2 linked regions of the Rhinolophus ferrumequinum genome follow. The protein of the gene in region 1 interacts with the protein of each later gene in a biochemical or structural test. Links are inferred from orthologs where the notes say so. Each region holds a gene or a part of one and is shown in the gene's direction. Other genes may lie near its edges.

What was found.
Region 2: the proteins of IRF4 (region 1) and STAT6 form a complex in vitro, tested with the Homo sapiens proteins (2 studies listed by BioGRID). The link is inferred for Rhinolophus ferrumequinum from reciprocal best matches to the Homo sapiens genes IRF4 and STAT6.

The regions. Positions count from the first base shown.
Region 1 is NC_046292.1:93,936,818-93,944,239, reverse strand, and holds the start of IRF4 (interferon regulatory factor 4), read left to right. Parts: upstream 1-4,238; 5' UTR 4,239-4,299; intron 4,300-5,657; 5' UTR 5,658-5,722; coding exon 5,723-5,941; intron 5,942-7,422. UniProt on the Homo sapiens protein: Transcriptional activator. Binds to the interferon-stimulated response element (ISRE) of the MHC class I promoter. Binds the immunoglobulin lambda light chain enhancer, together with PU.1.
Region 2 is NC_046293.1:56,162,777-56,170,798, reverse strand, and holds the start of STAT6 (signal transducer and activator of transcription 6), read left to right. Parts: upstream 1-4,925; 5' UTR 4,926-5,215; intron 5,216-7,555; 5' UTR 7,556-7,610; intron 7,611-7,903; coding exon 7,904-8,022. UniProt on the Homo sapiens protein: Carries out a dual function: signal transduction and activation of transcription. Involved in IL4/interleukin-4- and IL3/interleukin-3-mediated signaling.

The DNA.
Region 1 (7,422 bases):
AGTTGTTTGTAAACAAAGGGAAAGGAGACAATGTAGCCTTAGTGTCTTTGATTTTGTTTTACCTAATTGATTAAAATGACAAGTCCAATTTCTTATAAGCCTGAAAGTGCATCATTCTTTGTGCCTAGGGAAAAGCTATGCATATAAGCTCTGCACTTTACAGAGTTCACAAACGAGTCCTGAACAGTCCATGTTCTGGGAATACTTAATGCTATATATAGCTCTGCAAAATTCTTTCATTGAAGAAACTCAGAGCACTTTGCAAATTAAATTAGGAATGTGTATGCAGCTCTGTAAGAAAACATCCAGGTTTGTGTGTCCTATTACAATTACCAAAGAATTTACCACTTTACAAAGAAAGTTCAACTCAATTGATTTAAATTTGGTGTGCAGTGATAACATTTAGCACATAATTGTATTTCCAGAGTATTCCATCTTACCTCCTCTGTATAAGTAGCTTTAAAGTTAAATTTTTTCAGAGGATTAAATATTCGAGTGTAGTGGCTGAGAACAGCACCCATTTCCTCCAGTTTCCTCAAAATGAATATAGCTTCATGAAGAAGAATGAAGTGAAGACCAGTGGTTAGTTCAGTGGCTTTATAACAATGCAGCTTTTCTTAGTCTGAATTTACCATAACCAAAAAGGCCACTAGTTGCCATTAATTGTTCTAAGTTGGAGCAGAAAAAATAAAATTGTTTAGGGTTGGAAGACAGTTCCATGGTTACCTGCTGCCAATCTTCGCTTCACAGACGAGAAGAATGCATCTCACCCCCGTTGACTTGACCAATAAGTGCCAGACTAGAGCTAAAGTGCCACCTCTAGGCTGACAGGCCTGCACTCGAGCTGATTCTGAAATATGAATGCAACAAGCCACCAAATTGATCAGAAGGTGTCCGTGGACAAGGCATTTTTACCTCAATGGACCTCTTTGAATCGCTTTCCCTATCGGTACAATGGGGCTGAATATAGTCTGCCCTGCCACCAGGCAGATTTCGTTGGGAGATCAAATGAAATAGTCTCTGAAACTTCCCTAAATATCGAAGCAGAACGTGATGATTATAATCGTACTTGTTGAACACTTAGGATGTGCCAGGCATTATGCTAAGCATCATTTCATTATCACAGCACAAAAGGAGGCAAAAAAGTCATTACCTTCATTGTCCATGGGAAGGTAAGATTTTGGTTAAATAATTCATCCAAGATCTCACAGATTTGAACAAGGTCTAGCTGACCCTCATACCCGAACATTTAATTATGAATAATGCCATAGAATAATAATACTATAATACAATACTATAATATTATATAATAATATAATACTATGTATATCATATATTACTATAGCATACTAATACTATACTAGTACTATATTACTATATTACTATGCTACTATAGTGTACAGTATAGTAATATATTGCATATTATTATACTATTACATAGTATGTTACTATTTATATAATAAAATAATAATACAAGAATAGTTTAATAACACTGTCGTATGAGATGCCATGATCGTGGTAATAAATAACATTTCACACATATACAACCAAAGAGCATTAGAGAAGATATTTATCCTATATGAACTATATCATATCAACAAAATGTTTTTAGTATTTTCCTAATTTTTAACAAGTAATTAAAAAGTGATTGCCCTTCATACTTTTTGAAGGATATAGTTTTCATTGGTTTTGATTAATCATGGCTCTCTCTCTTTTTAGAGAACGAATTAGTGAGAAAATAGTTTTACCTGAAACATGGTTTTATAATTTACTTTTTGTCTACTATGGGTTTTTCTAAAATATATTTTCTTGCATGTGAATGTATAATTTTAAAAGCTTTAGTTTTAAAATAATGAATTTAGGTAAATTCAGCTTTTCTTACAGTCTCTGTGATAAATGGGACTTGAAAATTGCAATACTCCATTCCGATTGAACTCCATCTACAACAGCACTGCAGCATCGGACAATTCACTGAAATAATCTCCTCACAGAATACCATGTCTTTGTTTTGGATAGACGTTCAATTAACTGACTTCCTATTTGTTTTCACTTTTTAACAACTTGTGACACTTGACAATAAATGTCTAGTCTTTTACTGATGAAAACTTTGATTTTCTCAAATGTGTGGCGACACGGTCAACTTTAGAAACTTGTCATTTTTGTTTCCACTATGACTACGGCGTAAAAGTCTGACGAGCACCCGGCAGTGCACACCAATTCCCTGCCTCCTTCTCCCCAGGGGTAATGAGGACGGAAAGGGTTTCAGTGATTACAAATGTTATTTTTTATAGTCACCTCATCATAAAAAAAATCACTTCTAGTAGATCAATAAGACAAATGAGTAAACCAGAAGATGGCGTTGAAGATTAGCAATCACATTTTAAAACAAGATAGACTGCTAAAGTCTCAAAAGTTTCATACAATGACTGTTGTTTTGAACTTCTAAAAGTAGATGAGTGAGGAAAATGTTGAAACTAAACCTGGTGCAGAGGACATGTGTACGAAAGTGTGAAAAGCTCTAGTTTGCTATTTTTGTCATTAGCAATCTCCTTCTGTCTATTGTTTGTGAACAATTTGGAGAAAAAAAACAATTCACTGATTAAAATGTAATGCAACATGAAGGCAGCATTCTTCGTTTTGTTTACTGAAGTATTCCAAGTTCCTAGAACAGTTCCTGTCAAGTAAAGTAGTAGGTGCTCAAAACACATTTGCTGAATGAATGAATCTGTGAAAGGACAAGAAAGGAAGAAGAGGTTATGACCAGAATTTTCTTTGAACAAAACCCTGTTGTTTATTGCATAGAATCTCATAATGGAAAACTTACTTGGTTGAATAAAAATATGGCATCCTGTTAATTTCTGAGAAAGTTCATTCGTTTTAGGAAAAGTGTACCTGATTTGTGTCTAACTGACTGTTTTTGCTTTAGCCTAAACTTAGTGTTTTCTTTGGGTAGGTGACACTGACCCATATGAGATTAAAAGAAAAACTGAGAAATAAGTGAAATCAAAAGCTTTACAAAAGTTGCGAGTTGACCTGGGGTGACGCTAGTCTAAAATCATATAGAAACCGGTGATCTGATGGTTTACCTGAAATTGCTAAATACATAAACATGCAGGGAGTATCCGAGATGCTCTGGTGAAAGTTTAGTGAGCAGGTGTTCAGGTAATTATTTTGATATTAAGGACATCTTGGGGAATTAAGTAACATTTCTGGTCTGCCTAAATATTCCTATTCTGGACATTTATATTCCACTAGTAAGCTGCTTCCTACCAGGATGAGGTTAAAACTACGTCATTCTAAAGTGAACTGAAGTCCAGAAGCAATTAAGTACTTGGATACTTCGGGATCCCTTCCCCAACTCTTTCATGTTGCTGCAATTGAAACTTTGGGGGCTACGCATTGTCTGAGTCACCTCAATTCACCAATTTAACAGATGCAAAAGTATGTAAGCATTTCAAACACATAAACAGTATTTGAACCAGTTTTATACCTCAAGGGATCTGGGCCATTTCCTCTTTTCTTTTTAATGAGTAGATAGATGCTGTCTAAACATTGCAGAGGGCAGGTTCATGAGGACGGCGATGGGGCCAAGGTTCCCCCACCCCCACACTGCAGTAAGGACAATTCCTCCGTCTTTGCTTCTGTGCTCTGCAAGCGAAGTCCCCTTCGCATCAGATTCCGGCTACTGCACGCCGCCCCTCCACCCCCACTTCCCGCGCTAACCACAGAGCAGTCGTTTTGTCGTATTAGTTATCGACTAGCCTCCCGCAGGTCCTGGCGCAGAAGCTAGGTCCCCATTTCGCGCCTTGCCTTTCGCAGGAAACCACCGCCAGTGAGGGTCGCGGAGGCCGAGCGCTCCCGACTCGAGGAACACTCGCCTGCGGCGGCACCAGCCGGGTGGCGGAGGATGCCGGATGCCGGAGTTCCCAGCCTGACCACCGCACACCGGCGGGTTCCTCGGAGCCCGCGCCCCGGGACTCGCCCGCGGGGCGCTCCACCCGCTGCTCGCAGCGAAACAGAGACAGTGAGAAAGTGAGAGAGACAGAAAAACAGACTGACTGAAGCACACTCATGGACGCTCTCAGAAAGAGACACATAGAGAGACATGTTGATCAAAGGAGGCCGGGGTGCCCTCCCCGCCCCCCGCGGGCACAACCCTCCCGGCCCCGCCCCGCCCCAGGCTCCGCCTCCAGCGCGGCTTTTAAGCTCTATAAAGTTCCTCTTTCCCACCTCGGTGTCTCAGTTTCACCGCTTGAACTTGGGACCCACCGCTGCCCTCAGCTCCGAGGCCCAGGCAAGGTAAGATCTGAGACCCCACAGGAGCACACATGTGAGGCTGGCAACACAGGGAACCCGGACGGCTAGACCAGCGGTCCCGAGGACCATCTCGAGGGCAGCGCAGGGACCCCAGCTTCAGAGCTGTGAGGGAGCACGCCCCTTGAGGGCGCCCGGACTCCCACCCCGTCTGTTCAGGGCCCGAAACCTTTGTGCGGGCTCTGTGGAGGGCCCGGGATCACAGCTCGAGCATCTCCACCGGCTTTCCCCGGCTCCGGTATCCCCACCACTCTGTGGGTCTGCCCAGTGCTCGCTGGGGGATGGGATGGGGGAGGCGCGAGAGGGCACGCGCTGGACCAGATGGGAGAATGGGGCTGTCAGGGCCTCAGGAGTGGCCGAGACGGGGCAGTCGAAGGGACTCACACTGGACCGCGGGCTTTCCCGCAGGGGACATCCGCTCACTCCCGAGGCTCCTTCTCGGGCTCCTGGTTCATAAGGGGCCCAAACTCACCGCCGCCGCTGGCGCGTGGCTCCCTGGCTGATGGTGGAGAAGGAGGAGCTCCAAATTTGGGGCACTCGGGGCCTGGGCTCTGCTGCCTCAACCCCAGCCCTCCGCGGTCCCACGCCCTCCCGGCACCCTCCCCTGTCTCAGCCCTCTCTCACGGGCCTCCAGGGTCCTGCTGAAGCTCGGCGCGCCGCACTCTCCCGCTACTTGGCTGCTGCGCTCCTCGCCAAGGGCCGGGTCTCTGCCGCTTATTGCTGCCACTTGATCCTTGCTAGCTGGTGCGGGCTCAGGGGTATTCTGGGGACAAAGACTGAGGGTGCGGGAGAGGATTTGCTGGGTGCTGAGCATCTGGGACGCCCCGACTGCAGACGAACCCACGTGAGATTGGCGCCCGGGGAGGCCACCAAGAGAGTGTGAATTGGGGAGTGGGCAAGAGTGGAAACTGACAGTGAAGGGGGAAACGGACTGGCAACAGCTTGGGGATGGGCAAAAAGGAGTGGGTGCTACGAATGAGTATGCAAACGGAGTGCCAAGAGTGGGGGCACTGTGGCTGGGTGTGGGAGTGCGCGCAAAGGCGACAGTTGTGAGTCTGGGCTGTGGGGTGCGTGGCAAAGGAGAGTCCAGAAAGTGGAGTAGGAAGATCCACTCCGCGCAGGGCACGCTCTCCCGAGGCGTCAGGATTGTGCGCGCCAAGAGATGAGCACCGCCCGCGGGGAAGGTGTCTCAGCTCAGGAACCTTGGATGACACAGACTCGGTAGCGCGCCTCGCTGCCTCGGAGACTCCGAGGCCTCGTGGTCCTTGCCAGAGCTGCCTGGGACAGGATGCCCCAAGCCCCGTGCCGCGGTGGCTCAAGGGCGGCCCTGCTGTCCCCCGCAGCGCAGAGCCAGTGAGTGCAGGAGGCGGGTCCTGGGCGCGAGAGAGCGGCAGTCGGCGCGCTGGGCATGAACCTGGAGGGCGGTGGCGGCCGAGGCGGAGAGTTCGGCATGAGCTCAGTCAGCTGCGGCAACGGGAAACTCCGCCAGTGGCTGATCGACCAGATCGACAGCGGCAAGTACCCCGGGCTGGTGTGGGAGAACGAGGAGAAGAGCATCTTCCGCATCCCCTGGAAGCACGCGGGCAAGCAGGACTACAACCGCGAGGAGGACGCCGCCCTCTTCAAGGTGACTCACACGTGGGGAGCCCGGGACTGGATTGGGGGAGGGCCCCAGAGACCCCGGCGGGGCCCGAACCGTGACCCGGCGTCCGGCCCAGTCCGCGCCCCGCGCCCGGCCATTCTCATAGGAAAGGGGACAGCACGGGACCGGCGGGATGGCGTGGGCCCAGCAGGGCGGGCTTCCCGGGAGCATCAGGGGGCCGTCAGCCGAAGCTATGGGAGAGTTTCCACTTCTCTCGTGATTTCACAAACGGAAGATCGAGTCCCGATCCTGAACGGGTGCCGTGAGCAGCACCCAGAGTCCGAAGTGCCCGTAGAGGGCGTCGGTCCCAGGACGCCGGCTTCAGTGTCCTTGGTTGCATTTCTGTGGGTTCCTCTGTTTCCATCGGAGCCTCTTTCCTTGCCTGTGGATCCTTCCCGGCCTCCTTTGATCAACATGTCTCTCGCTGTCTCTTTCTGTGAGCGTCCATGAGTGTGCTTCAGTCAGTCTGTTTTTCTGTCTCTCTCACTTTCTCACTGTCTCTGTTTTGCTATTTTTCTCTAGGGTTTTCTCTCTCTACATATACATATACATATACATATACATATACATATACATATACATATACATATACATATATATGTTTTAATATATATTTATATATATTTTATTTTTTTCCTTTGGTTCAGTCTCTTTTTGGTGTGCCTGCTCTCTTGCCCCAGCTCTCTTTGGGACCTTCCATCTGTATTTCTCCGGCTCTATTTCTCTGTCTCTGTCTGACTCCGTCTTTCCAAGTCTCTCTCTGGAAAATTTTCCTTCCTTCCTTCCTTCCTTCCTTCCTTCCTTCCTTCCTTCCTTCCTTCCTTCCTTCCACTTTTTCTTCCTTTCTTCCTTTCTCTCTCTCTCTCTCCCTCCCTCCTTCCCTTCTTCCCACCCACTCTTTTGGGTTTCTCTCTTTTTCTTTCTCCTCCTCTACCTCTCTCCCTCTTAGGATCTCTATTTTGAGCCTCTCTCCAGACCTTTCTCTCTTTTCCTGTGTGAGCCTGTCATGATTGTTTTCCCCTAAAGCAGTTTACCCAGTGACCGGTGCCCAGCCCCACCACCTGTGGGCAGGACAGGCAAAGGGGACTCCCTCAGGGATTTGCATTCAGAACACCTCAGACAGTCTGACAGCTCAGATGTACTCTGTGGGCAGCAGTTCATCCCACAGCCCGCTGCCTAGCTCCAAGCAAACCATTTCAGAAACTGGGTGGCAGGCCTTTGCCAGGGGTCCTCCACATCTTACCCACCTTTTACAGATACTCAGGGAATGTTTAAACCACTTCTCTTCAACGCAGCCATGATAGAGACCAAGGTGAGAGTATTTTACATAGAAGACACCTACTATATTTTTGGCCTACATTTTGAGCAGCAGATTAAATTTGAAGCACCTAAACACCATTATTTTCTTTAGAAATACAATCGCCAGATTCTTTTTTAAAAGACTTATATTTTTAACTTTTCCCCTC
Region 2 (8,022 bases), on another chromosome or scaffold:
GCCTTCCTTTTGGCCTTGGGTGGGTTACTTAACCGTTCCACACTGCAATTTCCTCATATGTAAAAATGAGGGCTATCAGCACTATCCAATAGAACTTTCTGTGATGATAGAAATATCCCATGTCTGTGCTAATATAGTAGCCATTGGCCATATGTGATTATCGTGCATTTGAAATGTGGCTCGTGCATCTGAGGAATTGAATTTTTAAATTAAAATTAAATAGCCACATATGGTTAGTAGCTACCATGTTAGATCCATAGTTCTATCTCATAGTATTGTTGCAGGATAAAATGTACAGGACTTAGATGTTTTTAAAGTAGGAATTGAAGTAACACATAAAGCCTCACTAGACGTTAGTTATTTTGCTGTCATCTACTGATGTCCTGGTCACTTGCCCACATTCCTTGAAGACTTTGACATCTGACTCACTGTCTCCCCGTGCACCCCAGGTCTTTTGCAAGCCAGATGGCTTCAATGTTCATGCAGGTACTCCAGCAGCACCCTGGCCTCTTGGTTCCTTGCCCTCCTCAACTCTGATGACTCACCTCCATGTTGCCACAGTCACTTACTCCAATAGCTACAACCTGTACCACACCCTGCCAGGAGAGCTGGACTGAAATCTCAGCCCCTTGTCTCTGAATACAACATTCCAGCCCCTAGCTTTTTCTCTCCCTCGCTCCCAAGAAGGCTGTTCGTTAGGCCTGTTGAGACTCCCAGTTCCTTAACTCTATTGTTTCTTTACGCATTGGCTCCTCATATCTTTACTTCTCCTCCTAACCAGACTTGATTCCATACTGCTTCACCTCTACTCCACCAAGTGGTCTCCTCCTCCATATGAACTGTTCTCCTGGCTTCAGACTTATACTTTAAGTCCATCCTCCATCCCTACTAAACATCATCATATTACTCACTTGCCCTAAATCCTCTAATGCTCCCCATTGCCAAACTACTACCTATATCCAGAGGTACCATGCTCCCACAGTATCCATGCTTTTGCACATGCTAGATCCTCTTCCTGGTTTAACGCTTCCCTTGTTCCTTGACTGAATAACTCTTATTTTTCCTTCAAGGTTCAGTTTGGGCATCACCTCCTCCAGGAAGACCTCCCTGATCTCCCCTATCCTCTACCTAGTTTAGGTTCCCCTCCTATATGCTTCCACGGTACCTTGTGCTTCACTAGAATGACAGCTCCCGTTATCCTGTAGTATCATTGTTAACTAATTGGATTCCCCCTCTCAGCTTTACGAGCCTGAGAACAGATATCCAACAAATTTTTGTTAAATTAACTGGGCATAGATTCTGGGCAGATTGGTTTTGTTTGCTTGCTACCAGTTTCATTTTGTTTTTTCAAAGATGGGAGGGATTTGAACATGTTTATATGCTGAGGGTAAAGAGTTATAATAATTAGAGAATGAGAGGTTGGAGATTTGGAGGATCCAGGGAACAATGAACAGAACAGTGCCTGGAGAAGCAGAAGGGAGGGGTCCTGAGCACAGGTGGAAGAACATACGTTGGGCAGGGGCAGGGACACAGACACCCTCTCTCTGAGCCTGAGGGAGGGCTCAGGTGATGATGAATATGTCTGTTGGTAGAGAGCAGGAAATTAGGAAGTTTCCAGCGGAGGGTCTCTCTTTAATCTAAGTGGTGAGCTAGTATTAAGATGGAAATCTGGGGACAATGGCAAAGGCCTGGGACACAGAACTGACTAGGGGTCCACCGCTGCTTCCTACACTTCTTCAGTGACCTTTTCCTTCTGTCCCTCAATCCTCCCCAAATCCCAGCCTGCTGCCCAGGGCTCCTGAACATGGCACCCACTCCTCTTGTCTGTGAAATGTACTGAACTCTTGCTATCAATCCATCACCAAGTTTAGTCCTTGTATAAGAGAGTGTATGTAAAACATTTAGCCCATTGCCAGATACACAGTAAACATTCAGTAAATGGTGGTCATTGTATTTACTAGCAAGAATGAATGTTGTCTTTTCTAGTTACACAGCAGTGTTTGCAGAATGATATGAGTCCCCGCCCTCCGGGAGCTTATGTTCTACTCAGAGAAGAAGGATATACCCATAAAATAATTAAAAAGCAATGCAAAGTGATTACATCCAAATGCGTTTTAAAAAATCTCAACCTGCACTAAAATGTATCTCTTACATCAAGACCTAGAACTCAGATACACATATAAAATTGAAACAAGTTTCATTAGACACTACCCATCCTTACTTTGTGTGATGCATACTGGTATTTTCTATTCTACTTGGTTTTAAAAAAGTGATGGTCAAGGTTCCCTATTACGGGTTGAAATGTGTCTCTTGAAAATTCACATATTATATATTGAATTCCTATGTCCCTCAAAAATTCATATTCATATGAGGTACCCCCAGTGCCTCCGGATATGACCTTGTTTGGAAATCGGGTCTTTACAGACGTAATCAAGTTAAAATGAGGTCATTAGGGTGTGCTCTAATCCAATCTGACTGGTGTCCTTAGAAAAAAAGAGGAAATTTGGAGACAGACCTGCATAGAGAGAACACCATATAAACATGAAGATGGTAGCTACAAACCAAGGAGAGAGGCCTGGAACAGATTCTCTTTCACAGCCCTCAGAAGGGACCTGCTCTGCCAATACCTTGATCTTGGACTTCTAGCCTCTAGAGCTGTGAGACAGTAAGTTTCTGTTGTTTAAGCCGTGCCGCTTGTGGTCCTCTGTTATGGCAGCCCTAGCAAACTAACACACTCACCAAATCGATTTTATGACTCAGTTGGCTTGCTGCAGTCCACAGACCCAAAAGTTCTTTTTTCCCATGTTTTCTCTCATGCAATCTTAATTGCCATTTGGTGGGATGGTAGGACCCAGAGGAGAGTGAAACAAGGAAAGCACTCATTCTCAGGATTGTGCAAGTAGGGGTGTCATGACTGAAAGTCTGGCCAACCCTGCAACTGCACGACCTGAAGATGAGTGCTTCCTTAAATTTTGCACCCTAGTCTAGGCTATGTAAAGAAGATGTAGTTATTGTCTCCATTTGAGGGTTTGACACAAAATGGAGTTAGACCCAAACCAGATTTTCCTCTAAATTCTGAGTTCTTTCCATGACATCACAGTGTCCCCACTGGTGCAATCAATTAGAGAGGATGACAAAAACTATTGTTTTCCTACTAGTATTTGTTCCTCATCTTCCTACCCCCAAAATGAAGCAAAGTTAGAGACTGCATTCACTCCTTCCCTCCTCTTGCCGAAGTTTGGGGGAACTTGGACCTTCTAAGACCCTTAGATGCTGGGACCTGAATTCAGCCACTGTCTGTGAATGTCTGCAGGCAGCATGAGCACCTGGGAGCACATGCAAACTGCATACACCGTGATCGATCCTAAGACAGATTCCCTGCTGGCCATCTCCACCCCTGCTCTCCCTCCTCTTCAATTCACTGCCTTTTAGACACAATAAACACATAAACACACATACCTCTAATAGGCTCTGTCTTTGTAGAGCTAATATCCCCGAACCCAGGGACCCCTACGTAGGATGGAAGCCCTGTTGCCTTCCTCATGTCTGGTTTATTCTGGGAAATCAAAATAGTGCCTAATGTTTAGTACCAGGCACTGTTCTAAGCCTTCATGTGTATTATCACATTTCACTCTCACAACCTTATTAGTTAAGACTATTATTTGTTCCATTTTACAGATGACAAAACTGAAGCACAGAGTAAATCACCCAGAGCTGTGCAGTTAGCAGTGTTGGCAGGATTTGAACCCAAACAGTTCTTAACTGGTACCCTGTTGACTGGCTGGGCCAGACACCCATGCACTCCTGAGCACACATGCCCGTCCACGTGGGGTGGGAGGGGAGGAGCTGGGGTCTGGGAATCAGTTCAGGCACCAGGGGGCAGCATAGGCCTAGCTTTGGCCCCTCAGCCCAGCCCTGTCAGGGTGAGAGCCGGGGTGGAAACCTCCTCCCACCTCCCAAGTTCCCCCAGAGCCCACCCTTTCCACACACCTTCTCTCAGGTTTGGGAGTGTGAAGGTCTCTCTGGGTCCCTTGGCCTCCTTCAGCTCCTCCTCTAGCAAAAGCTGCAGAAACCATCCACTAGTTATGATGGATGATGACTCAGAAGCTGAGCAAGCCTTGTGTACGTGTGTCTTCTTGTAACTGCATATGGCTCTGAGTGCTGACATGTCTATGAGCCTGCCCGCACGTGTGTAAGCATGTGTGTGTGTGTGTGTGTGTGTGTGTGTGTTCTTGTGGCCAGGAAAGTTGTGCATGTGTGTTCCTGGGTGTGTCTCACTCAGTGTTTACCCCAGAAACAGGAACTTCACTAAGGCTGTACAGCAGAGTCATAATCCAACTTGTCCCTGGGGAGTCTGCAGGCAGCAACTTCAGCTTGTGCCGGCTCCAACCGGGGTCTGAGGAATAGCAAGCACCCTGGGAGGAGGGGGCAGAGACGGTCAGTCTGAGGCACTCCTGGAGTCTTGCAGAATTCTGAGCTTGGGGACCCGCACTCCCTCCCCTCAGTGGTCACGCGACCTCTAAAGCTTTCTCTGCCAAGAAGGGAGGGGGACCTAGGCCTTAGGACGTCAAGCTTCCCGCTGCTTTTCAGGGTCCTCCACTGGAGGGAGCACAGAGCCCAAAGGGATTTGCTTTCCCAGAGGCCACGGGGAGCCCAGTCACTCCGGAGCCCAAATCCCAGGGGATCTTGCAAAAGTTTGAGTATGGGAGAGGCAGTATGGGGCGCATGTCTTTGCTTGATAATAGATGACTTTCTGGAGGAAAGTTTATCGCTTTTGAGAAAACAGAGTAAGTGGGGATCAGCCTCCCCTCCAGCCTGGCCCCAGGACCCTGAGCCCCGTCCTGGCTCCCCCGCCCGGCACAGGAGGCACATATCCTCACCCCACTTTCTTCCTCTTCCTCCTCCAGCCTACTTTCTCTTCTCTGTGTCGTCAGAGCTCCAGGGAGGGACCTGGGTAGACAGAGAAGCCGGAAACAGCGGGCTGGGGCAGCCACTGCTTACACTGAGGAGGAAGGACGGGAGAAGATTTTGTGTGTGTGTGTGTGTGAGTGTGTGTGTGTGTGTGTGTGTGTGTGTGTATTTTTTCTTTTTGGTGGTGATGGCGGAGGGCGGGTGCTCGCAGGGCCAGCCCTGAACTCGCTGGACAGAGCTACAGACCCATGGGGCCTGGCAGTGCCCGCTGAGAAAGGGAGAAGACAGCAGAGGGGTTACCAAGGTGAGGGGATGGTGCCGATGACGGGAGGGTCGGGGTCTCTGATTATCAGCGTATGGGAGGGTGAATTAATTAACGGGGTGGGGGGGCTCTCAGGATCCTTCCTTGGGCGGGGCGGATGGTCCCCAAGAAATTGTTTCAGCTGGTGTTGGTAGCTGGTGGTACCGGGTTTGGGCAGTTTCGAATCTCAGAGGAATCTGGGATGGGTACAGGCCCAGTGCTCACACCTCCCCCTCATGGGTCACTTTTTCCACACCCCTGCCTCCGGAACCTCCAAGGACAAGTAAAGACTGGTAAAAGAGGGCAAGCTGGTGACCCTCTGCCTGCTGAGTGCGTGTGGGGGGAAGTGGCTGCCCCTCCCTAGAAGGTTGATGCCAGAGGGCAGTGGGTCTTTGACAAACTCCTGTCTGGTTCCCCTATCCAGGTTCCTGTTCAGGAACTGGGGGATAAGTGATCCCCAGATATAGACCTCATGGTGCCCCAGAGGAGGGGGAATTTCCCCCTCAAAATTGCTTCTCGCTTGGCTGCTGTAGACGCCGAGATTTCCCAGCGGCGCGGCGTTAACCCTCCTCGTGCTGAACTGGCTCCGCCTCCCTGCACCCTCTCCCCGCCCCCACCGCCACAAATACACATTGGGCAACTCAGAGAAGCTCTTTTGACTTTTGATCCTGTGGTCCCACGGTCAGAGGACTCGGGAATGTAGTGGTTGAGGTGATCAGGTTTAGGTCACGAAGTGGGTGATGAGTACCCTGGACGTCGTGCTTTTCTTCCCAGTTGGGAAGGAAATCTTGGCCCCACCCCCTCATGTTGTGGCTCCTTCGTGTCCCTTCTAGTCTTTAGGGGCCTTTATGCAGGTGATGCTCCTGTTTTGGCGAGCCGATCGACCCAGCCTCGTTATTGGGTGGGGATGGGGGAAAGTGTGGCCTCCTGAGGTCTGAGGATGAAGTGGGGGAGGAGATTTGAAGCTAGGGCCGGGCCAGAAGGCTGGTCACTCAACACGGAGACATAGAAGAAAGGGGGGTTGCCGATGGCTTAAGGATCGCCTCAGTCCTCAATAGGGTTAGGGTAGAGGGTCAAAGGTCTGAGCATCAAGAGAAACAAGAGTGGAAGAGAGGAGAGAGGAACGGAGTCCTCCCTTGAATTTGAAACACAGACCAAAAGGTGCCTCCCCCCCAAAAAAAAGGGGTAGAGAAAGGCCTGTTGTATTGGAGGACCCTGAGCAGGAGTGGGGAGGATTCTGCTTTTGGGAGAAAAGAGCTGGGGTTGTGGTGCTGGGATTGGGGAGGAGGGGCAAGAGGATTCTAATGCTGGGAGAAAAGAGGGGGGAGGACTGGGGCTGGGGGAGTTGATCTTGAAGCAGGAGTCTCCAGAGAAAGGGATCCTCTGTTCTCCATCCTTTTGGAAGTCCTGGGAGACGGAAGAGGCTAAAAGCACAACAGGAGGATTTGGGGTTACTGGGTTCGGGGTTGCCCAGGGAGTTTCCAACCCCTTCCTCTCCCTCATCTCTGGGAGAGGGACATTATGAGAAACATGAACTGAGAGACCCCTGGGAAACCACTGGTTTACCCACCCCACCCTGCAACCCACCCAGAAATGGGGACACAACCCTCTCCCCTACTCCCATCTCCTCCTTTCCTCTCTCCCTCTTTTCTTCTCTGTCCTTGGCCTTTTAGCCAAGCCTCTAGCTTCCTCTCCCCCTCTTCTAGGCTCTTCACTCCAGGCTTAACTCCACTTTTTCTTCATTCTCTCTCACCTTCTTGCTGAGTTCTCTCTACTTTCCCCTTTGCTGGGTCACCCCTTCTTCGACTCTCCTCCCTCAGCACTCCTCGTAGGATGATGGGATTTGGATCTGGAAGGGATCCTAACAGTCCAATGTGGTGGTTAATCCCCATTCAGATTCAAATCTTGATTTCCAACTAGCTTGCTAAGTGGCCTTGGCAAGTTAGAGAACCCCCTTGAGACTCAGTTTCTTCATCTATGAAAGGGGTTAATTATATATTTTTAAAATTTTGTGAGGCTCTAATGAGCACTAACATAGAAAGTGCTTAGTAAACGGTAGCTATTATTGTCCTACATCCTCTTCTTCATCATCTAGCCGGCTAGTTTTCAAATTATCTCTTGGAGACTTGGAACTTTGAAGAGTTTCTCAGGGACACCTTTGGGGTCAGGAGGTGGGGAGAGGCAATTAGAAGAAGTAGCGTTCAAGGCCTACCATACTTGCCTTCAACAGAGAAACTGCAATTTTTATACCTTTTATATAATTGGGATTCCACAGATTAAAATTGTCTATTGCGTTAAAAAGTTTGGAAAGTTCTGCACTTATCCGAGCCTCATATTTTATAGATGAGAAGACTGAGGCCCACAGAGGGAGGTTCCTTGCCCACAGTACCAAAGCCAGGTCTACAGATGGAACCCTCGTCCCCTGCTTTCTCACACAGAGCTTTCCCTACTGCCCGATCTCACCTGTCTCCCCACCTCTCTGGCTGCAGCTCACCTCTTCCCACCCCTGTGTCTACCACTGAGGGATACCCTTGTCTCAGGCACTGACCAAAGATGTCCCTAGTTTGATGTGGTCTGGCTGTGAGTGGTGGGGGGTTGGTCTCTGGGAGGGCTGTCTACAGGAGGTCCCTCCCCCCCAGAACATAGGCCACCTTTTTTGGGCACTTCTCAGTGGCCTGTTCCTTTCTCCAGATGCCCTCGAAACACCAGGTCATGTCTCTGTGGGGGCTGGTCTCCCAGATGCCCCCAGAAAAATTGCAGCGGCTCTATGTCGACTTTCCCCATCACCTGCGGCATCTCCTGGGTGACTG